Linked DNA regions of Anolis sagrei. The protein of the gene in region 1 interacts with the protein of each later gene in a biochemical or structural test. Links are inferred from orthologs where the notes say so. Each region holds a gene or a part of one and is shown in the gene's direction. Other genes may lie near its edges.

Region 1 (7,264 bases):
TGGAACTCTCTGCCCTGGAGTATGGTGGAGGGTCCTTATTTGGAAGCTTTTAGACAGAGGCTGAATGGCCATCTGTCAGGGGTGATTTGAATGCAATATTCCTGCTTCTTGGCAGGGGGTTGGACTGGATGGCCCATGAGGTCTCTTCCAACTCTTTGATTCTATGATTCCTTCACAACAGTTTCCATGATGGCTTTCCAATCCACCTTTCATCATGTTCTTCTCTTCCATACAATTTTTTTCAAATTCAATTTTCCCACAACCAAATTCATCATAAAACGTTTAAAAAATCAAACAAGCTGATAAAAAACACAGAAGCTTCCCAAATTAGGTTTATTTGAAGAATGTATGACTATGTACACAAAAATTTGCTCCAGACTAAGTTTTGTGACTGCTGGGAAGTACTACCAAGAGGCTTAGTCCTGCCACATGTGTTACCTCTTCCCATATGTTTTATCCTCTACATCCCACTCTTCCTTGCTCAACAGAGATTTTTCCCCTCTCTTTCAGCCTTCTCTTCTTTCCCAACCCCCACATATTAGACAGTAGAAATCCTCTTTCTTTGTAGAGAGGGAACTATTTGTACACCCTGCAGAACAAAATATAGCAGGCTTGAGGACCTAGAAATTCCTAAAGAGAACATATTAATCCAATCTGCAAATGTTGAGAGCCAACTGTAGTTAATGTTGCCACCTAGAGATCCTCAAGAGAATTGAATCTCCCAAGCCCTCCTCTGTGTATTTGGAACAGACAAGAGGCACCTAATGCCAAAAGATGATAGTGCGGCCTACAATGGTAACAACAGGACTCCTCAGAGTAGAGAGTCTTCTCAAAAGTAGGGTGCCTTGTGGTTTGGTCTAAATGCTTACTGATGGGTTTAGAAGTGTTTTCATTTCCAAAGCTGTGTAGCTCATCTTTCTGTTGAGCCTCATCTCTTCTGGAATCTTGGTCTACATGGATATATCCATGCACAAAAACATAAAGAAAGCTGTGGACAAGTCTACATAGGGACCACCAAATGCAACATTGCCCAAACACAAATCAAGGAACATGAAAGGCACTGCAGACTACCTCAACCAGAGAAGTCAGCCATAGCAGACCAACCTGGACACAGCATTTTATTTGAGAACACAGAAATGCTGGACCACTCTCACAACCACCATGTCAGACTACACAGAGAAGCCATTGAAATCCACAAGCATGTGGACAATTTCAACAGAAAGGAGGAAACCATGAAAATGAACAAAATCTGGCTACCAGTATTTTAAAAACTCAAAAATTACAACAGCACAACAGAGAGGAAACAATCAGGCACATCTAATCACCTCTCAACAAAAGATTTCCCCAGGCACTGCCAGGCCATCAAATGCTAATCAAGGTGGTCAGCTGAAACATTCACACCTAGCTTCAGCAGAGAGCTCTTTGTCCCACCCTGGTCATTCCACAGATATATAAACCCATTTTCCTATTTCCAACAGACCTCACTACCTCTGAGGATGCTTGCCATAGATGCAGGCGAAACGTCAGGAGAGAATGCTTCTAGAACATGGCCATATAGCCCGAAAAAACCTACAACCACCCATAAAGAAAGTAGATGAAAATGACTACTCTGTAATACATGCTGTTTTCTCTTCTTTGCTGAAATAGCAGCTCTTTGTATTTTTATCTGCTTTGGCTGGTGGATCTGCATGATAATCCAGTTCAAAGCAGATATTGTGAGACTTTCTGCCTTGATATTCTGGTTTATATTACTGTGTGGAAGGGCCCTGCGTATTCTGACTTTAAAGATGGGATAAAATGTATATAAAAACAAATAGCCTGGAAGCATGATTCCCAAAGCTGTGGCTTTCCTATTTCTGGGAGAACTCTATCCATTTCTTTGTGGGAAGGGGTGAGAGAGGAAGTATAGGAGGTCCCCAAGTTGCGAACAAAGTACATTCTGTAGGTTTGTTCTTAAGTTCACTTTGTCTGTAAGTTGGAACAGGTACTTTTGTAAGTATAAATATAGCAGAGTACCAGAAGTAAACTTCATAACCAGCAGAAACTTAGATGTGATGAGCTGGGATAAGCTTCTATTCCTTAGAAGGGCTCAGGATTGCAGAGTTAAAAGATATTTATTGAAGTAAAAGAAATACATTCTAGATAGCTTACTAAGTCTCGTGTTCTAAAGAAGTTAAAAGGGTAAAAAGTAAAAAAAAATCCATGCATCTAGATTTTGCCTAAAGAGAGAGGCAAAATGAGCCCTTACTGAAAAAAAGGCAGAAGAGACAATGGTGGAGACCATGTGGTCAACCCAGGGCAATAAAAGGAAGTTCCCTCACAGAATTCCATTCCTACTTATCATAGAATCAAAGAGTTGGAAGAGACCTCATGGGCCATCCAGTCCAACCCCCTGCCAAGAAGCAGGAATATTGCATTCAAATCATCCCTGACAGATGGCCATCCAGCTCACAAAGTTTAAAAGCTTCCAAAGAAGGAGCCTCCACCACACTCTGGGGCAGAGAGTTCCACTGCTGAACGGCTCTCACAGTCAGGAAGTTCTTCCTCATGTTCAGATGGAATCTCCTTTCTTGTAGTTTGAAGCCATTGTTCCATGTCCTAGTTTCCAGGGCAGCAGAAAACAAGCTTGCTCCCTCCTCCCTATGACTTCCCCTCACATATTTATACATGGCTATATCTCCTCTCAGCCTTCTCTTCTTCAGGCTAAACATGCCCAGCTCTTTAAGCCGCTCCTCATAGGGCTTGTTCTCAGACCCTTGATCATTTTAGTCACCCTCCAGCTTGTCAATATCTCTCTTCAATTGTGGTGGCCAGATTTGGACACAATATTCCAGATGTAGTCTAACCAAAGCAGAATAGAGGGGTAGCATTACTTCCCTAGATCTAGACACTATGCTCCTATTGATGCAGGCCAAAATCCCATTGGCTTTTTTTGCCGCCACATCACATTGTTGGCTCATGTTTAACTTGTTGTCCACGAGGACTCCATGATGCAAAAGTCTGAAGGAAGACACCATAAGACTAGGATTCAAGTCCCTGTTCAGACACGGAAGTCTACTGGATGCCCTTGGATAGCTCACAAAGTCCCTGTCTTCCGAAAGCTAAACATGCCCAGCTCTTTAAGCCGCTCCTCATAGGGCTTGTTCTCAGACCCTTGATCATTTTAGTCACCCTCCAGCTTGTCAATATCTCTCTTCAATTGTGGTGCCCAGAATTGGACACAATATTCCAGGTGTGGTCTAACCAAAGCAGAATAGAGGGGTAGCATGACTTCCCTGGACCTAGACACTATGCTCCTATTGATGCAGGCCAAAATCCCATTGGCTTTTTTTGCTGCCAAATCACATTGTTGGCTCATGTTTAACTTGTTGTCCACAAGGACTCCATGATGCAAGAGTCTGAAGGAAGACACCATAAGACTAGGATTCAAGTCCCTGTTCAGACACGGAAGTCTACTGGATGCCCTTGGATAGCTCACAAAGTCCCAGTCTTTTGAAAGCTAAACATGCCCAGCTCTTTAAGCCGCCCCTCATAGGGATTGTTCTCAGACCCTTGATCATTTTAGTCGCCCTCCTCTGGACACATTCCAGTTTGTCGATATCTCTCTTGAATTGTGATGCCTAGAATAGGACACAATATTCCAGGTGTGGTCTAACCAAGGCGGAATAGAGGGAGAGCATGACTTCCCTAGATCTAGACACTATAGTCCTATTTCCTTTCCATCTCGAAAAGGAAAGCGCTGTGGTTCTCCAGAAGTTGGGATCGAAGGCAGCAAATAGCAATCAGCAGAAGGAGGAAGGGATGATGCTCTCGAAAGGGAATGGTAGGTCCTGGAGAGAGGAGTGCGTTTATCTCTCCGAAGGAGAAAGTTGGCGATGGAATATGGTCGAATCCCTGGGAAGGAAGGCGGAGGGAAGCTTGGGTCTGAAGGGACCTGAGCCAGCATCAGGCGCTTGGGTGGATTCCTTCCTTTCGGCTGCTGCTGCATTTCTCCCCCTTCCAAAGGCAATGCATCCCGAACTGATTCCAGTCCACAGATTTCTCCTCAAAATCATTCCAACACCTAAGAAAAAGCCAGCCTTGCAAACGAGCCTCTCCCTCCTCCTCTTCTTCTTCTTCCCTTTCTGGGAACCCGCGCGCCACAGCTCGAGCGCGCGCCCGTGACAGGTGTTTCCCGGGTTGCAAACAGAGAGGAGGGGGAGGAGCGGAGTGGGCGGGGCTTACTCTTTGAAGAAGCCCAGAGGGGCGGGGCTACGGCTGTTGGGTCCCTCCCCCTCCTCAGCTGTGTTGGATTTTGGGGAGGGGAGAGAGCGCGCGCGAGAGAGAAAGAGTGTGTGTGTGTTTGTGAGAGAGAGAAAGAGGGGAACGCGGCTGGTTGATCTGCGCCGCCGCCGCCGCCGGAGTGGTTGGGAGCCCATGGCATTGGCGCTGGGAGGCTTTCCCCGCTCCGTCAGCCGCGGGAGGAGGCAGCAGGGGCAAGCGACGACGCGACAACTCTCCTCAGCTCGGGGGGCCTCTTGGGTGAGAAGTGCGCGAGGCGGAGGCGCGCGCCTCGAACTGCGGCGGCAACTTTGGGGAGTTCTTTCCGGGCGTGGGAAAGAGGGCACCTGGGCGCCTGAGGGGAGCTGCTGCGTCCTCGCGCTGCCGCCCGCTTGGAACATGTAACTGGGGAAGCGCGAGAGGAGGCACGCGCACACATACAATCCAGAGGGAGAGAAAGAGAGGGGTCTTGCTGCTACTGCTCCTTCGCCGTCTCCTTCTTCTTCTTCTTCTTATTCTCTCCGAAGATGAAGCTGTCCCTTCTCCTCCTCGGCTTCCTCGCCGTCGCCGGGACCCTCAGCGCCGCTCAGTCAGGTGCGTCCCATCCGTATAGCGGTTTTCTTCTCTCCTTGGCGTCCCTTTCCCCCCAAAGTTGCCTCCTTCGAGGGCTTTGACCTGCGGCTCGCGCGTGGCCCGGCTTGGTCTCCCCCTCCCCTCCCTTGATTATGTTTCCCCAACTCAGCAAGACTCTCTTTCCAACCCGATGATTGAGATGCTGTACAGCTGTGTCCTTATAAGATCCACCTGGAGCTGGATTGTAAGGCAGTGTAGAATCAGATCCACCCAATATCAAAAGCGGATATTGGGGATTGTCTGCCTTGATATTCTAGGTTATGTGGAAGGTCCCTGAGTGGCTTGGGACTAGGACGTTTGAAGAGCCCCCTCTTCTCATATGAACATTCTCCATCACCTTTGAGGGCAGAATGTATATTGCCATAATGCAATTAGTAGGGGATACTGGCTATACTTTTCTCAGGCTTTTGGGAAGAATATAAACTCATTTGAAAGATGCTGCTGGACAATAAATGGGGATTGTCTGCCTTGATATTCTGGGTTATATGGCGATGTGGAAGGGCCTTGAATGGCTTGGGACTAAGACGTTTGAAGAACCCCCTCTTCTCATATGGACATTATCCATCACTGGGTTGTTGTAGGTTTTTTCGGGATGTATGGCCATGGTCTAGAGGCATTCTCTCCTGACGTTTCGCCTGCACTTTGGCAAGCATCCTCAGAGGTAGTGAGATATTCTCCATCACCTTTGAGGCCAGAATGTATATTGCCACAATGCAATTAGTAGGGATACTGGCTATACTTTTCTCAAGCTTATAAACTCATTTGAAATATGCTGCCGGACAATAAATGGATCTGGGGATTATCTGCCTTGATATTTTGGGTTCTATGGCTGTGTGGAAAGAGGCACCAGAGAGCCCAGTTTAAAGCAAATCTTATGCGTTATCTGCCTTGATATTGGGTTGTTGTAGGTTTTTTGGGCTATATGGTCATGTCCTAGAGGCATTCTTTCCTGACGTTTCGCCTGCATCTATGGCAAGCATCCCCAGAGGTAGTTCTAGTGGCATTCTCTCCTGACGTTTCGCCTGCATCTATGGCAAGCATCCTCACTACCTCTGAGGATGCTTGCCATAGATGCAGGCGAAACGTCAGGAGAGAATGCCTCTTTCCACACAGCCATAGAACCCAAAATATCAAGGCAGATAATCCCCAGATCTATTTATTGTCCAGCAGCATATTTCAAATGAGTTTATATTCTATTGTCGAAGGCTTTCATGGCCGGAATCACTGGGTTGTTGTAGGTTTTTTCGGGCTATATGGCCATCAGAGGTAGTTCTAGAGGCATTCTCTCCTGACGTTTCACCTGCATCTATGGCAAGCATCCTCAGAGGTAGTGAGGATGCTTGCCATAGATGCAGGCGAAACGTCAGGAGAGAATGCCTCTCGAACATGGCCATATAGCCCGAAAAAACCTACAACAACCCAGTGATTCCCACCATGAAAGCCTTCGACAATAGAATATAAACTCATTTGAAATATGCTGCTGGACAATAAATGGATCTGGGGATTATCTGCCTTGATATTTTGGGCTCTATGGCTGTGTGGAAAGGGCCCCAGAGAGCCCAGTTTAAAACAAATATTGTGGGTTATCTGCCTTAATATTATATGGCCCCATGTGCTCAGCCTCCGGCCCTTCCACACAGCCATATAACCCAAAATATCAAGGCAGATAATCCCCAATATCTGCTTTGAACTGTGTGATCTGAGGTCCCTTCCACGCAGTTGTATAAAATTCCAAAATTATCTGCTATGAACCGGGTTATATGGCAGTAGGACTCAGATACTCCAGTACAAAGTAGATATTGTGGGTTTTTCTACCTTGGGCCCTTCCACACAGTCTTGTATCCCAGAATATCAAGGCAGCACATCCCACAATCTCTGCTTTGAGCTGCGTGATCTGAGTCCACAGTCAGATGATGTGGGATTTCCTGTTTTGATATTCTGGGATAGAGGGCTGCGTGGAAAGGCCCTGAGTCCACACTGCCATATATTTCAGTTCAGTATGCATTTCATATAGCTGTGTGGAAGGGGCCTCTGTCTTTCCTCCCTTTCTTTTTTGTGTGCCAAGGATGGCTTGGCACCTGTGGCTTTGGCGGTTGGCGGTGAAGAGCCGCGGGGCTTGGCAGATGGGATCCCTCGGAAGGAAGGTCTTTTACGGGGTGCTGGTGTTGGAAATCTCACGGGGAGGGCCCGATCCAGCTTCTTCCCATTCTCCCCCCTCCCCCAAGACTCCTTTTCCTTTCCCAGCATGGCCGCGGGAGATTTCATACCTTTCCCCAAAATATTTTCAAGAAAGCTGAACTCTGGAGGGAAGATGTTGCCGTCGCGGAATATAAATGGGGAAAGGGGGGGGGGTTACTACCACATTTACTAT
Region 2 (7,138 bases), on another chromosome or scaffold:
TTTACATTGATGTAGTCTGGTTATAAAATTATTTATGTGATTAGTTCATCTTTAAATTAGGTTTTACAATGCTAAGCTTTTTAGCTATGCACATTATTATTACTTACTTACTTTATTATTACTAAACGTTGTGAAAGCTGTTAGGACAAGGTCTTCCCCCAAAGAATTGGTAGAGCTACAATAGTCAGAATATAAAGTCTTATTATTAGTCTCCTCTGCAGGTTTATTTATTTTATTATTTATTTACTGTATTTATATCTGATCTGGCCACGGTCGTCAACACTCTGGTTACATCCCGAATAGTTTACTGCAACACACTCTACGTGAAGTTGCCTTTGAAGACTGTTCGGAAATTTCAACTAGTCCAACGGGTGGCAATCAGATTGCTCACTGGAGCACCATACAGGGAGCACATCACCCCCCTGCTATGTCAACTCCACTGGCTGCCGGTCCATTTCTGAGCACAATTTAAAATGCTGGTCTTCGCCTATAAAGCCCTATACGGCTCCGGCCCAGCTTACTTGTCCGAACATATCTCCCTCTATGTTCTGCCTCGTAGTTTAAGATCCACCGGCCTCGCAAACATGTCTGGTGGGGACAAGAGCCTTCTCTGTGGTGACCCCCTGCTTGTGGAATTTGCTCCCCAGCGAGATTATTGCAAATTTTCCATCTTCACTTATCTCACTGCACTATTGGCCAAAGGCTTGGCCCCTGAGCCATGTTTTTACTTGCTTTCTGAGGGAGGGAGGGTGCTGACCTGATTTCGCTGAGGAGGGAGTTCCATAGCCGAGGAGCCAACACAGAGAAGCCCTGTCTCTTGTCCCCACCAATTGCACCTGTGAAGGAGGTGGGACTGAGAGCAGGGCCTCCCCAGACAATCTTAATCTCAGGATGGTTCATAGAGGGAGATACGTTTGGACAGATAAGCTGGGTCAGAACATTTAGGGCTTTATAGGTTAAAGTCAACACTGTGAATTGTGCTCAGCAGCAAACTGGCAGCCAGTGGAGCTGACGTAGCAAGGGGGTTGTATGCTCCCTGTACACCACTTCAGTGAGAAATCTGGCTGCCACCCATTGGACCACTTGAAGCTTCTGAACAGTCTTTAAAAGCAACCATACATAGAGTGTATTACAGTAGCCTATTTGGGAGGTAACAATTTTTGACTTCTGCAATATCAGTTACTAGCAGTTAATCACAGTCTGAAATATTACACCACAAAAAGATGTTCTGAAGGTTTCTATTACTTAATAATAATAAGGGCGGCTTACATGGGGGCAAGCCCGAAACAAACATAGTTAAAATATAACACACTAAAATATAAAAACAACATAAAACAGAATAAAATAACATTATAGCAGCAACATTATAACAGCTATAAGAGCAATGATCAAACCAACAACCAATTAACCTACAATAATAAACAATTTTGCAGTGCTAAAATTTATTACAGCATATTATTTTAGTTATTCTATTTTATTATAGGTTATTGCTGTTATTATTGTTACCATGCCTATTTGTTAATTTAAATGTTATCATAGATATCCATATATTGGAATAAATATAGCATATATGGGGTTCAGCACTATTCACTTTTTCAGGTATCCACTAAATCTCTTGGATAAGTGGGAACTACTGTATGTGGAATTCCAAAACTTAGAGAGGGGCCAAACATTCAGAGATGTATAGCTCACAGTAGTATCATCTCAGTTTAGCTTCAGACAAAAAATTTTTTATAGAAATAAAGAAAGTGGTTCTACTGTATCTGCTTCCTATGACTATCTTCAATAGGAATCAAACAGTTGCATTCTGAATCAGGAAACACTTCCTAACCATTTTCAGCAACATGTACAGAACTTAGTAGCAGTCGGACTGAGAACTTTTTAAAAATTAAAGCGGTCTGTTATTAAAGGATAAAGTGTGGATATAATAAAGAAAATTAAATATATATTTGCAGGTAATAACCCCTTTGAGAGCCAGTGTATTGTAGTGTAGCAGTTTGAGTGACTCCAGAGATAAGGGTTGATTTCTTGTTTGGCCATAGAAATCCCCTGGGTGACTTCGGGTAGGTCACCCATTCTCAGCCCCAAAATGCCCTGTAATAGGGTCACTTTGGGTCACCACAAGTCAGGTAAGTCAGATATCTGCCTTATCTGCCTGCTCAAAAAATAAGGTCTGGGAAGGGGCCCCCCTTTTTGTCCCCCAGAAGGTCCACTTAGCAGGACCAGCTGGCAGTTCCCCTGTATATATTTAGTATACCATGGTAGTGCATTGTTTAATTTTAATTTACTGCTCATGGCTCAAAACAGCACATATATCAGCTCATCTATCTCAGAACAGTTTACATGGTGAATTATAACATTTTGAAATAATTAATGTGTCATTACATTACATTATTGAGACATATTTTCCATGAGAACTAACATTTGACTTTACGATGGCCTCTGACATCTTCAATGGCATGAGGGGCCTTAGGAGCTGGGTTCGGTCAGAGCCTGACTATCCCTGGCCCAATAGAAAAAAATCTGCCACACCGAGAGCAAATGCCAGGCAGAGCCATTATCATGGGAGGTGATGTTTAGTAAGGAACCAACACGATTTGGCAGAGAAAGCTAAAGGCTTGTAAAACTGCAACTTCCATGATTCCATGGCATTGAGCCATGATTGTTAAAATGATGTCAAACTGCATTAACAGTACAGTGAAAGAGCACTCCAAGAACCTACATAATCCTTTGCGATTTATGAGCATCCCTGTGCAAACAACTTGCCATGTTGTTTCTTTAGTGCGGAAGGTTTACAAGAGACTGAAAATCAATGCATTTGTTTTCTTTCATACTCTGAGATGGTAGGACTCAACCCAAAAAAGGGTACGTCTTCTTGACTATAATTTCAGTAGTCCCTCCATGTTTGCAGTTTTGAGTATTTTATTATTCATGAATTTGATAAAAATGTTCTCTTTTGAAACCTCTAGGTCCTCCATGGTGACTCTGTGGTCAACTTCCTTCAGTCATGCTGGAAAAGCTAGAAAAACGTAGAATGGCGCTATCCCAGGTTTAAAAAAAAATCTTTATTAGTATTTTTTCACTTTCATGGGATGCCCCTAACCCCATTGAATGTGGAGGAATGGTTCTAATCTTGTCGCATTGGAAAGACCGCAACATTTTAGATCAAGCATGGGCAAACTACTGCCCGAGGTCCATATGTGGCCCCCTGGGTGCTTACATCAGGCCCTCCTCATTTTCCCTGTCCTCTTCACATAAGGACATGGTGGTCCACTGCGTCATTCTGCCAAAAAGATGGGGAAGAAGGCACATAGCAGCTAAGAGTCCTCTGGAGTGCTCTCAGTCACTGTGTGTCTCACCCTCCTCCCGACATAAGAGCAGTGCAAGTGTTCTTATGCCAGGAGGACATCTTGAGGAAGGCACACGGTGGCTGAGAGCCTTCCAGAGTACACTCAGCCACTGCCTGTCCCACCCTCTTTCCCAGCACAATGCCAAGAGGACAGAGGATGAGGAGGAGGATCATTTCGGTCATTTGGTGTTCCATCTGTCTCCCAGACTAAGGATGGGATGAACAGCCCTGGGAGGACAACCTGAAGATGACCCAGGCACTGCCCTGCTCCCTTCTGGCCCTGCCCTTTCCCAGGCTCTTCCCATTTAGCATGTATCTGGCCCCTCCCTCCTGACCCGGTCCTCCTAGCCGGGCCCAAAATGCATCCCCAAGGCAAAAAAGTTTGCCCATGGCTGTTTTAGACAGTAGATTGTGATGGTGGATGAAATTCAAATGTCAAAAACTGTAATATTGTGTGGTCACTAGAGTATATCACCTAAGTTGCTCATGCTAAAAGGGCGAGGTTGGGTTAGGTATAGTAACGGGAAACATCTGTTTGTGGGTTGCCAATGAAATCTGTGCATTAGAGAGAGAAAAGGAAAAGAATGTTTGAAGAACCCTATAGGAAATACATTCTACACATGAATGATTTGTGTGTACAATGTTAAATTGCCGAAACCTGAATAGTATTTTAAGCTGTGGAAACAATTATTTACATTACAGACATAGCGAAATATAAAGATATGCATTTGGTTTCTCAGTCTCTCTGTGTCCCAAAGACTTTCTTCCCTGTATATCTCTCCTCCTTTTCTAGTCACTCTTACACAACATCAAAGGAAGAAACCGATCTAACCTGCTGGATGGGAGTTCTACATATTGAGAAACATGGAAATGACAGGTATGTAGATCTTACACAACCCACTCTTCATTTTCTTCCACACACCCCTTTCATAGGAGTGGCTGGGAATGCCCTGATACTCTGGGAATTCACTGTAGTTGACACAGAGATTCCAGACATATCAATATAATGTTATTCATTTCAGTTAGCGAACATCTACTAATTAACAAGGACAAAGATAAGCATTTAGTTAAGGAGGAATTAATAACTGAATCAGATTCCTTTTCCAGTTCTTTTTCTAAATAAATAAATAAAAGAAACAGCATCAACAGCACAGACAATGCCTTCCTGCAACCTTTTATAATAATATGGAAAAATAAATATTTCACCATATTTCATCTCTTATATCTGTTATCATACACCATGTATTCTTGCACGAAGATGTCACAAATGTGAAGATTGTATAGATTGTTAGGTTCTACCTTCCCCCCACAAAATAATTGCATATCTAAACAGAAAATAATAGAAAATTATCCAAAGATTATGAGAGTACAGAATTAGAGCTTACCTTTTCTAGGAAATGTGGGAATGGTGAAAAAGGCCAACCTACCACTCACTATCATTGTACATCATGTCTAGCTAACTGGACATCTGGAAAACAGTGTCCAATTCGATAAGCTGGAATGTGTCCAGAAGATCAAAATTCTGGAGAACAAGCCCTATGAGGAGTAGCTTAAAGACCTGGGTATGTTTAGCCTGCAGAAGACAAGTCTGAAAGGAGACATGATGAGGACCATGTATAAATATGTGAGGGGAAGTCATAGGGAGGAGGGGCAGGCTTGTTTTCTGTTTCCCTGGAGACTAGGATGCAGAACAATGGCTTCAAACTACAGCAGTGGTTCTTAACCTGTGGGCCATAAGGACGAAAATCTGGTCTGTGAGCCTCCTTCCTCTGTACTTATTTATTTATTTCCACTTTTTTTGCGCTGCCTGCCATTCCTTCCCTATTGCCAATCATGGCATATGTTCTGTATCAGAATCACAGAATCATAGAGATGGAAGAGACCTCATGGACCATCCAGTCCAACCCCCTGCCTAGAAGCAGGAATATTGCATTCAAAGCACCCCTGACAGATGGCCATCCAGCCTCTGTTTAAAAGCTTCCAAAGAAGGAGTCTCCACCACACACAGGAAAGGAGATTCCACCTGAACATGAGGAAGTACTTCCTAACTGTGAGAGCTGTTCAGCAGTGGAACTCTCTGCCCCAGAGTTGTGGTGGAGGATTCTTCTTTGGAGGCTTTTACACAGAGGCTGGATGTCTATTTGTTACTTACTTAGGCAATCCCTTGTTGTCCGAGTAAGATTGTCTTCCAAGATCAGTGGTGGGTACATAGATGGTGGTGGGTACATAAATGACTGTAGAGTCCTATTCTTGACCTGTATGTTCTACTGCAGTGAGGGCATTGGTTTGCAGGTTGAAGATGGTCCCGGTCGGGGTTGGCTTGATGCACCTTCCTCTTGGCACATTTCTCTCTTTCGTCCTCCATTCGTACCTTTTCAAATTCTGCAGCACTGCTGGTCACAGCTGACCTCCAGCTGGAGCACCCAAGGGCCAGGGCTTCCCAGTTCTCAGTGTCTATGCCAGAGTTTTTAAGGTTGGCTTTGAGCCCATCTTTAAATCTCTTTTCTTGTCCAACATTCCATTTTCCATTCTTGAGTTTGGAGTAGAGCAATTGCTTTGGGAGATGGTGGTCGGGAAGGTGTGGGAAAGTGCAATATGAGGGAAACAGTGTAGGTGAAACAACAGGACTGGAATATATGGTCACTCTCCAAAGGCACATCGGAAAAGCCAAGTCTTTAGATCTTTCTTAAAGGCTGCTAGAGTGGGGGCTTACCTAATCTCACCAGGTATCGAGTTTGAGTTCCATAGCCGAGTGGCCACAGCGGAGAAGGCTCTCTCCCTCGTTCCCCCAAGCCATGGCTGTGATAGAGGAAGAGGTGAGAGGAGGGCCTCCCTCGAGAATCGGAGGGAACGTGCAGGTTGTGGAAGGAGATGCGGTCACGAAGGCAGGCAGGTCCCAAACCGTTAGGGCTTTATAGGTGATAACCTGCACCTTGAATTGGGACTGGAAAATGAACGGCAGCCTATAGAGCTCCTTAAACACAGGGGTTGACCACTCCCTGTAATTCGCCCTAGTTAGTCTGGCTGCTGAATGTTAGACCAATTGAAGTTTCCGGGCTGTCTGGTCCATAGCCAGGATATCGGGTTTTTTTGGGGGGGGGGATAGGGGGGGGTTCGGGGGGCTGAGTTTCGGGGGGGGGGGCTGAGTCTGAGTGAAAGAGGGTCTACCCTAGAAAACCTTTTGTATCATTACCCCAATACCCCCATGCATATGGGATATATTGAGTATGGTGATCAGATCATGATATGAATAAACATAACAGTTTAAATAATGCACCAGTAAGGCCTTTTCGCAAACCACCATGAGAATTTGGGGGGGGGGGGCTGAAACCCCTCAAGCCCCCCCCCCCTCCCCCTGGCTACTGCCTGATTGCAGTAGTCCAGTCTAGAGGTAACTAAGGTGGGGACCACCATGGTTAGCGCCTTGGTATCTCTACGGATGCCCCGGATCTCAAACACTCTCTGCTTCATTTGGAAACATGCTGTACTTGCAGAGCTCAGGTGGTGTTGTATTTCAGTGTCTATGTTGACTTGTGTGGAGAGGTGGCTGCCAAGGTAGTGGAAATGGTCAACATTTTCTAATGTTAAACCATCAAGCTGTATTTCTGGCCTTGCAGAAGGATTGGGTGGTGACTGTCCATCTGTTGGGGGTGCTCTGAATCGATTGTGCTTTTCCTGCATAGCAGGAGATTGGACTGGATGGCCCATGTAGTATCTATGATTCTACCCTTGGGGTTGTCCCTGTGAGCCCCCAGAAAACTGAGGAAGGTGCAGACCCGAGAGGCCTTC
Region 3 (7,940 bases), on another chromosome or scaffold:
TAGTATTTCAATGTGAAGTGTGGGCCTGCTTTTGGCTGATGAGATAGGATTGTTGTTGTTGTTGTTGTTGTTGTGTGCTTTCAAGTCATTTCAGACTTAGGTTGACCCTGAGTGAGGGCTGGGTAAATGACCTTGGAGGGTCGTATCTGGCCCCCGGGCCTTAGTTTAAGGACCCCTGGTCTAAAGCATCTTTCTGTTCTGAGAGTCTAACAGAGTCTCTGTACAGTTTGAGAGTCTAATGGTATCTCTGAACCATTCTGTTTCTTCTGACTTCTGTAAAGCATATTGTTTCTAAATTGGAGTCTGAGATCTGAACAGTCCCAGATCCAGTCACATGGTCTGCAGCCCCTCCCACAACATAGAGTTGAGGAAAACTGCATACCAATTCACACATATACAATACAATAAGCATTCTGAATTATATGCTTAATATATTACTAGTGGAAGCTTGAATAAGGATGCTATTTCCAACAAAGACAGCAGCACTTTTAAGACCTCAATAATTGATTTTTTTTCTTAGTATAAGATTTTGGAGATTTAAAAAACACTTCTCAAGATACAGTACCAAGTGGCCACTAATGGATTGCCACTAAGAATTCAAAAGACTGCTTTTGCATCAATTTTTTTCCCAATAAAGGATGTAAAGATACAATATGTCATTTCGCAGACATACTACTATGGTAGTCCAAATGGGATTTGTCGGGGCATGTGGCTTATCTGCCCTTGTTGTGTCCTCTTCCTCCCAACTGGCAGAAGAGAAGATGACATCTTGATTCTGACTTCACCTATAGGCAACAGGTTAGTATACTCCCATCCCATTTAAGGGTGCCAGACTTTTTGGAGACAGAGGACGTGCTTTACAGCACCTGCAGGTCTGTCCCCTAAGAGAGATGTGACTCAGGAAGAAGGGTGACTCAGGAAGAAGAGTAGTGCTGGAAGGCTCTTATCTCTGACCTCCATCACCTATTGCCTTGCCTTTCTATGCCTAAGTACAGTACCAACCTTGAATGACATTCTTGTAATACTACTCTTGCAATAGCTATTGCAAGTGTGACTCACTGTGTGAAGAGGTTTCTTCATCCACAGATTCAAACATCCAAATCTTGAAAATATTACAAAGAAACCCAAAAGGCCAATCTATATATGTGGGGCCGTGGTGGCGCAATGGGTTAAACTGTTGAGCTGTTGAACTTGCTGACCGGAAGGTTGGCAGTTTGAATCTGCAGGGCGGGGTGAGCTCCCACTGTTAGCCCCAGCTCCTGCCAACCTAGCAGTTCGAAAACTTGCAAATGTGAGTAGATCAATAGGTACTGCCTTGGTGGGAAGATAAACAGTGTTCCACGCAGTCATGCCAGCCACATGACCTAGGAGGTATCTATGAACAATGCAGGCTCTTCGGCTTAGAAATGGAGATGAGCACCACCTCCAGAGCTGGAGAGGAAGCCTTTATTTTATTTTATTTTATTTACCATATTTATATACCACCTCTCTCAACCCGAAAGTGACTCGAGGTGGTTTACAGTCGGTAATCAATGCCTCTCACAACATAAAATGTAGTTAAAAACATTAAGATATAATATAGATCATATAAAAAGCAGTAGAACAATGAAAACCATAAAACACAAGTCCTCAGCGTCTCATCACTAAAATCATTTTTCCGTCGCATTGTCCAATCGTTCCGTGGGTCTGTTACACTGCATCTGCAAATCCCTGCAGGTTTTAACTCTCTTTCAAAATGTTCGTAGGGAGGGGGCTGATCTGATATCCCTAGGGAGGGTGTTCTATAGCTGAGGGGCCACTGCTGAGAAGGCCCTGTCTCTCGTCCCCGCCTTTACCTTTATCTGTGAATGTTTGCCTTGTGTCTGTATATGCTGGAATCTGCCCCGGGTCCCCTCAGGGAGATAGGGCAAAATACAAATATAGTGTTATTTATTTATTTATTTGTCATTTTATATAAGGGGTGCTATTTTATGCTGCCATTGCATATAATGAGGCTCGAGCATCCATGGATTTCTGCATCCGTGGGGGTCCTGTTGGAACCAAACCTAAGCAGATACCATGAACCCACTGTGTGCATTTAAAAGTTAACTGGTGCAAAGCAACATGCCAAGCAGCTTGTAGGACATTATTGCACAAAGCCGCTAATGCAATGAACTATCCTGGGAACTTACTGGGATGATCAGATTCATTACTGCATCTACCTGTGACTGTGCAAAAATACCGCTTTGGCACTTCCTCATCCCATGACTGGACTTTATGTTGGGAAGGAAATTCCCAACATGTGTCTTTGGTAAGGGCTTTTTCTTTTCTTTTCTTTTTTGCTTTTTTGTAAATTTCCCCCCACCCCCATTTTAATTTTTTTTTAATTATTATTATTATTATTATTATTATTATTAAAAAATAGTTGATTATTACTGAGAGGGCATGTAAGAAAGGCCCCTTAAGGTCACAGAAGCATTTGGACCTCATTGCATAAGGTAAGTTTAGGGATTGGTGATGCGATCAGGGGCTTTTCATGGATTTTGCCCATCAATAGTTGGGCATGGCTCTGTTTGGGGAGATGACAGACCAGTAACAGGTATCGCTTCTAAGTTGGTTTGCCACCTCCATACAATAAAATCCTGCATCTATTGCAGCTCAGATTCTGAGTGACAGATCTAAAGATCTACATTTTGAGGCTTTTCCAAACAATTGGATTCAGGAATTCTGTGACTCTTCTTTGTTGAAAGAGCTTCATTGGTGACTGGCCCATTTCCAGGCAGATATCAAAGTGCTGGCTTTGACCTTTAAAGCCCTACACAACTTGGCTCCAGAATATTTGAAAAACCATTGCTCCTTATACAAGCCAGCTTGTGTGTTAAGATCTGTGACGGACAGCTTTCTTTCAATGTTCCCAACTTCACAGACATATTTAGTGAAGAATTGAGAGAGAACTGCTTCCAGGCTGCGGAACAGTCTTCCATGAGAGGTCTGGTGTTGCAATCTACCCAGGGTGGCAAGTCAGATGGGCCAGGATTTACAAGAGAAATGTTGATGCAACCCTTGCATATCTATATAAAATAGCTATAAAAATCAAAGATTTGTTGATAATATACCAGCGTTTGCAAGCCTTGCGAAACTACATCTGAATTTCTGCAAGTCCGCTGTAAACCTTGTTGCTAACAGAATTGTGTAAATATCTAGCTGGCATTCTTATGCTGGTCTATGCCCATAATAACAATTTGATCAATTGATAGATGGCATTCAGAAAGGTTTTACTGTTGCCAATTTTTTCATGACTCCAACACTGACTTAACATTTGGGGTCAGGATCCACAGTTCAAGAAGCAGTGGACTAGATCAAGGTTTTCTAAACTGTCCATATATACATACATATATATGTGGGTGTGTGTGTGACCTTGGGTATATAGGTTATGAAATGGGGGTACTGCGTTTTTGAAGGCTTTTATGGTTGTAATCGGTTGCTGTGAGTTTTTCGAGCTGTATGGCCATGTTCCAGTAGCATTCTCTCCTGATATTTCACCTGCATCTGTGGCTGGCATCTTCAGAGGTTCTGTTGATAGTGAGGCAAGTGGAGCATATATATGTCTTTGTAATGTTCAGGGTCTGTTTGAAGCAAGTGTGAGTGTTGCAATTAGCAAGCGTGATTAGCCCGAGTAGCCCTGCAGCTGCAAAGTCAATCAGTGAAGGCATGTGCATAGAGGTAGCTTGGTTGTCGTGCTTGGAGGAATTATTTGGGTTTTGTTAACTGGCACTTGGTTGTTTGCTGTCTGGAATTCCCGTTTCTGAATGGTGTTCTTTATTTACTCTCTTGATTTTATTGGTGTGTGTGTGTGTGGGGGGGGGGGGGAGTTGAAAGAGGAAAACCATTTTCTCCATTGTTGCTGGTTATTCCCTCTCCCCCTTCTCATATCATAAAGGAGAGTTGTTTCCATGATGGGGACATGGGTGGGGGAAATAAAAATAAAAGAAGGAGAAATGGTTGCTACTTGTTCCTTATACAGATTCCTCAGGGGAGAGAGAAACAAGGTGGCTTAGTATGCCCATCCCACCAAGAACTTGCCACAATTTATTATGATCCACACAGTCAAAGGCTTTAGAATAGTCAATGAAGCAGAAATAGATGTTTTTCTGAAACTCCCTGCCTTTCTCCATTATCCAACGGATATTGGCAATTTGGTCTCTCGTTCCTCTGCCTTTTCTGAACCCAGCTTGTACTTCTGGCAACTCTCTCTCCATGTATTGCTGGAGTGCCAGGTTATCAAATGCTAATCAAGGTGGTCAGTTGAGACATTCACACCTAGCTCCAGAAGACAAGAGTCCTTTGTCCCACTCTGGTCATTCCACAGATATATAAACCCACTTTCCTAGTTCCAACAGGCCTCACTATGTCTGAGGATGCTTGCCATAGATGCAGGTGAAATGTCAGGAGAGAATGCCTCTAGAATATGGCCACATAGCCCGAAAAAACCTACAACAACCTATTGCTGGAGTCTTCCTTGCAGGATCTTGAGCATTACCTTAACTGGCATGAGAAATAAGGGCAACTATAGGGAAGTTTGAGCAGTCTTAAGCATTTCTCTTTTTTTTTTTTTTGTATGGGGATATAAGTGGATTTTCCCCCAGTCTGATGGCCATTCTGATGGGAGGCGCAACTGGGAGAGCCCTTCCAGGGGGTGCCTAGCTCCGGGCCATGAAGTAGAGGGAAGCCCAGTGTGAGAGGAGTGTGCTGGGGGTTCCCCCAACAGGGCTTCCAGGGGGCGATCCTTGGCGAGGCTGTCCCTGGAGGAGGAGGAGGGGATTCCCTTTATGGCCCTGCCATTGGGAGGGAAGGAGGGAAGGCTGTCTTCCGCAGCCCCCGCATGGGGAAGCCGTGTGCGCGCGCGGGCGGGGAGAGGGAGCGGGTCCCGGGCTTACGCCGCTTCCGGTTTTGCAGCTGGAGCCTCGTCGGCAGCGGCAGCAGCGGCAGCACCGGCGGTGGCGGGAGCGTCGCCCCCCAAATGGCCTGGCCAGATGCGGCAGGTCTGGTGCTGCCGACTGGCGGAGGAGGGCGAGGAGGCGGCGGCGGCGGCGGAGGGCGAGGGGGGCTCGGCGCTTCAGTGCAGCAGCAGCAGCAGCAGCGGCAGTACCCGCAGCATCCGCATCCGCAGCATCAGCCTCCCCGGGCTCCGCCGCAGCAACAGCTAGAGGAGGAAGGGAGGGGGCGAGGGAGGAGGAGGAGGAGGAGGTGGAGGCGGCGCCAGGCCTGCATCTCCTCCTGCTGCTGCTGCTGCCGGGAGCGCCGGGGCCGGTGGGCGCCTTGGCGGCGGGCGGAGCGGGGCCCGGGGATCTCGGCATGAGGCGCCTGCCCTCCATGCTGCTCCTCCTCCTCGGCGCTTCCCTCGCCTGCTACTCGCCCAGCCCGCGCGCCTTGCAGGACCAGGCGTACTCGGCCGCCGTGGTGCTGGAGGGCAAGGTCCAGGCGCTGCCCCCGCCGCCCCCGCCGCCCCCACCCGTCCTCGGAGGGCCCACCGCCCTGCCCGGCAGCCCCGGCCCCGCCACCCTCGCCCCCGCCAACGGGAGCCGCGACTGGGAGGCCACCTCCTCCGCTTCCTCCGCTCCCTCCACTTCCTCCTCCTCGTCGGCGTCGCCGGGCATCCTGGTGAAGGTGCTGGACCTGTGGCCCCTCAACAGCGGCGGCCTGCAGCGCGAGCAGCTCATCCGCGTGGGCTCCACGCCGGCGCCCTGCTTCCGCGTCAAGCGCAACCACCGCTACATCTTCTTCCTGGAGCCCACCGAGCAGCCGCTCGTCTTCACCACCTCCTTCGCGCCGCTCGACACCAGCGGCAAGAACCTCAAGAAGGACGTCGGGCGCATCCTCTGCGCCGACTGCGGTGAGTCCCGCTCCAGACCCAAAGGCAGGGCCACCGCGCTGGGAAGCGGGCATTGGGCCCTTCAGGTGTTCCGGACTTCAACTCCCACCATTCCTATCAGCCTCAAGCCCCTTCCTTTCCCCCCACAGCCGCGCCAGTTGCTTTGGACTTCAACTTCCACCATTCCTTCCCAAGTCCGTTCATATATCCTGTATACAGCAAGCCTGGGCCAACTTGGGCCCATCCTCCAAGTGTTTTGGACTTCAGCTCCCACCATTCCTCACAGCCTTAGGCCCCTTCCTTTTCTACCTCAGCCGCTCCAGGTGCTTGAGACTTCAACTCCCACCATTCCTATCAGCCTCAAGCCCCTTCCCTTTTTCCCTTTCGGCCGCTCCAGGTGTTTTGGACTTCAACTCCCACCATTCCTCACAGCCCAGGGCCCTTCCTTTCCCCCCTCAGCCGCTCCAGGTGTTTTGGACTTCAGCTCCCACCATTCCTATCAGCTTCAGGCCCCTTCCTCTCCCCCTCAGCCACTCCAAATGTTTTGGACTTCAATTCCCACTATTCCTAACAGCCTCAAACCCCTTCCTTTCCCCCCTCAGCCACTCCAAATGTTTTGGACTTCAACACCCACCATTCCTAACAGACTCAGCCCTTTTCTTTCCACCCCTCAGCCGCTCCAGGTGTTTTGGACCAACTCCCACCATTCCTATCAGCCTCAGACCCCTTCCTTTCCCCCCTCAGCTGCTCCAGGTGTTTTTGGATTTCAACTCCCACCATTCCTATCAGCCTCAGACCCCTTTCTCCCCCCCCCCGTCAGCTGCTCCAGGTGTTTTGGACCAACTCCCACCATTCCTAACAGTCAGACCCCTTCCTTTTTCCCCTCAGCCACTCCAGGTGTTCGGGACTTCAACTCCCACCATTCCTCACAACCCCGGCCTCTTCCTCCCCCCCTCAGCTGCTCCAGGTGTTTTGGACTTCAACTCTCACCACTCCTCACAGTCTCAAACCCCTTCCTTTCCCCCTCAGCCGCTCCAGGTGTTTTGGACTTCAACTCCCACCATTCCTAACAGCCTCAGGCCCTTAAGTGGCTGAGGGGAAAAAGGAAGGGGCCTGAAGCTGCTAGGAATGGTGGGAATTGAAGTCCAAAACATCTGAAGGGAGTGTCCAAGTTTGCCCTGCTGTAAAGACCTCCCCCATCCTTGTTTTGAACTTAGAATCCTAGAGTTGGAAGAGACCTCATGGGCCATCCAGGCCAGCCCCATTCTGCCAAGAAGCAGGAAAATCGCATTCAAAGCACTCCCAAAGCCTCCAAAGAAGGAGCCTCCAACACACTCCAGGGCAGAGAGAGAGTTCCACTGCTGAACAGCTCTCAGCTGAATTACAACTCCCACAATTTGTAAGTCTCAGGCTGAGGTGGAAAAGGAAAGGGCCTGAGGTTTTTGGAATTTTGGGGCTTGAAGTCCAAAATACCCGAAGGGCTCAAGTTTGCCCATGCCTCCTCTAGTGTGATGAATTAGATAGATTTGGAAGAGACCTCATGGGCCATCCAGTCCAACCCCTGCCAAGAAGCAGGAAAATCACATTCAAAGTACCCATGACAGATGGCCATCCAGCCTCTGCTTAAAAGTTTCCAAAGAAAGATCCTCCAACACACTCTGGGACAGAAAGAGAGCTCCACTGTTGAACAGCTCTCAGCTGAACTTCAACTCTCACAATTTCTGACAGACTCAGGTTGAGGGGGAAAAGGAAAGGTCCTGAGGCTGTTAGGAATGGTGGGAGTTGAAGTCCAAAACACCCGAAGGGCCCAAGTTTGCCTATGCCTGCTCTTGTGTGATAAAGTAGATAGAAGGAGCCTCCATCACACTCCGAGGCAGAGAGAGAGTTCCACTGTTGAACAGCTCTCAGCTGAACTTCAGCTCCCACAATTTCTAATAGCCTCAGGCTGAGGTAGAAAAGGAAAGGGCCTGAGGCATTTAGAAATTGTGGGGCTTGAAGTCCAAAACACATGGAGGGTCCAAGTTTGCCCATGCCTGCTGTAAAGACCTCTCCCATCCTTGTTTTGGACTTAGAATCATAGAGTTGGAAG

The links.
Region 2: the proteins of ERBB4 (region 1) and SYK form a complex in vitro, tested with the Homo sapiens proteins (2 studies listed by BioGRID and IntAct, with this or other methods). The link is inferred for Anolis sagrei from reciprocal best matches to the Homo sapiens genes ERBB4 and SYK.
Region 3: the proteins of ERBB4 (region 1) and NRG2 form a complex in vitro, tested with the Homo sapiens proteins (2 studies listed by BioGRID). The link is inferred for Anolis sagrei from reciprocal best matches to the Homo sapiens genes ERBB4 and NRG2.

Annotation. Positions count from the first base shown.
Region 1 is NC_090021.1:172,652,839-172,660,102, reverse strand, and holds the start of ERBB4 (receptor tyrosine-protein kinase erbB-4), read left to right. Parts: upstream 1-4,262; 5' UTR 4,263-4,787; coding exon 4,788-4,854; intron 4,855-7,264. UniProt on the Homo sapiens protein: Tyrosine-protein kinase that plays an essential role as cell surface receptor for neuregulins and EGF family members and regulates development of the heart, the central nervous system and the mammary gland, gene transcription, cell proliferation, differentiation, migration and apoptosis.
Region 2 is NC_090022.1:235,006,310-235,013,447, forward strand, and holds the start of SYK (tyrosine-protein kinase SYK), read left to right. Parts: upstream 1-4,125; 5' UTR 4,126-4,226; intron 4,227-7,138. UniProt on the Homo sapiens protein: Non-receptor tyrosine kinase which mediates signal transduction downstream of a variety of transmembrane receptors including classical immunoreceptors like the B-cell receptor (BCR).
Region 3 is NC_090024.1:137,080,428-137,088,367, forward strand, and holds the start of NRG2 (pro-neuregulin-2, membrane-bound isoform), read left to right. Parts: upstream 1-4,927; 5' UTR 4,928-5,334; coding exon 5,335-5,872; intron 5,873-7,940. UniProt on the Homo sapiens protein: Direct ligand for ERBB3 and ERBB4 tyrosine kinase receptors. Concomitantly recruits ERBB1 and ERBB2 coreceptors, resulting in ligand-stimulated tyrosine phosphorylation and activation of the ERBB receptors.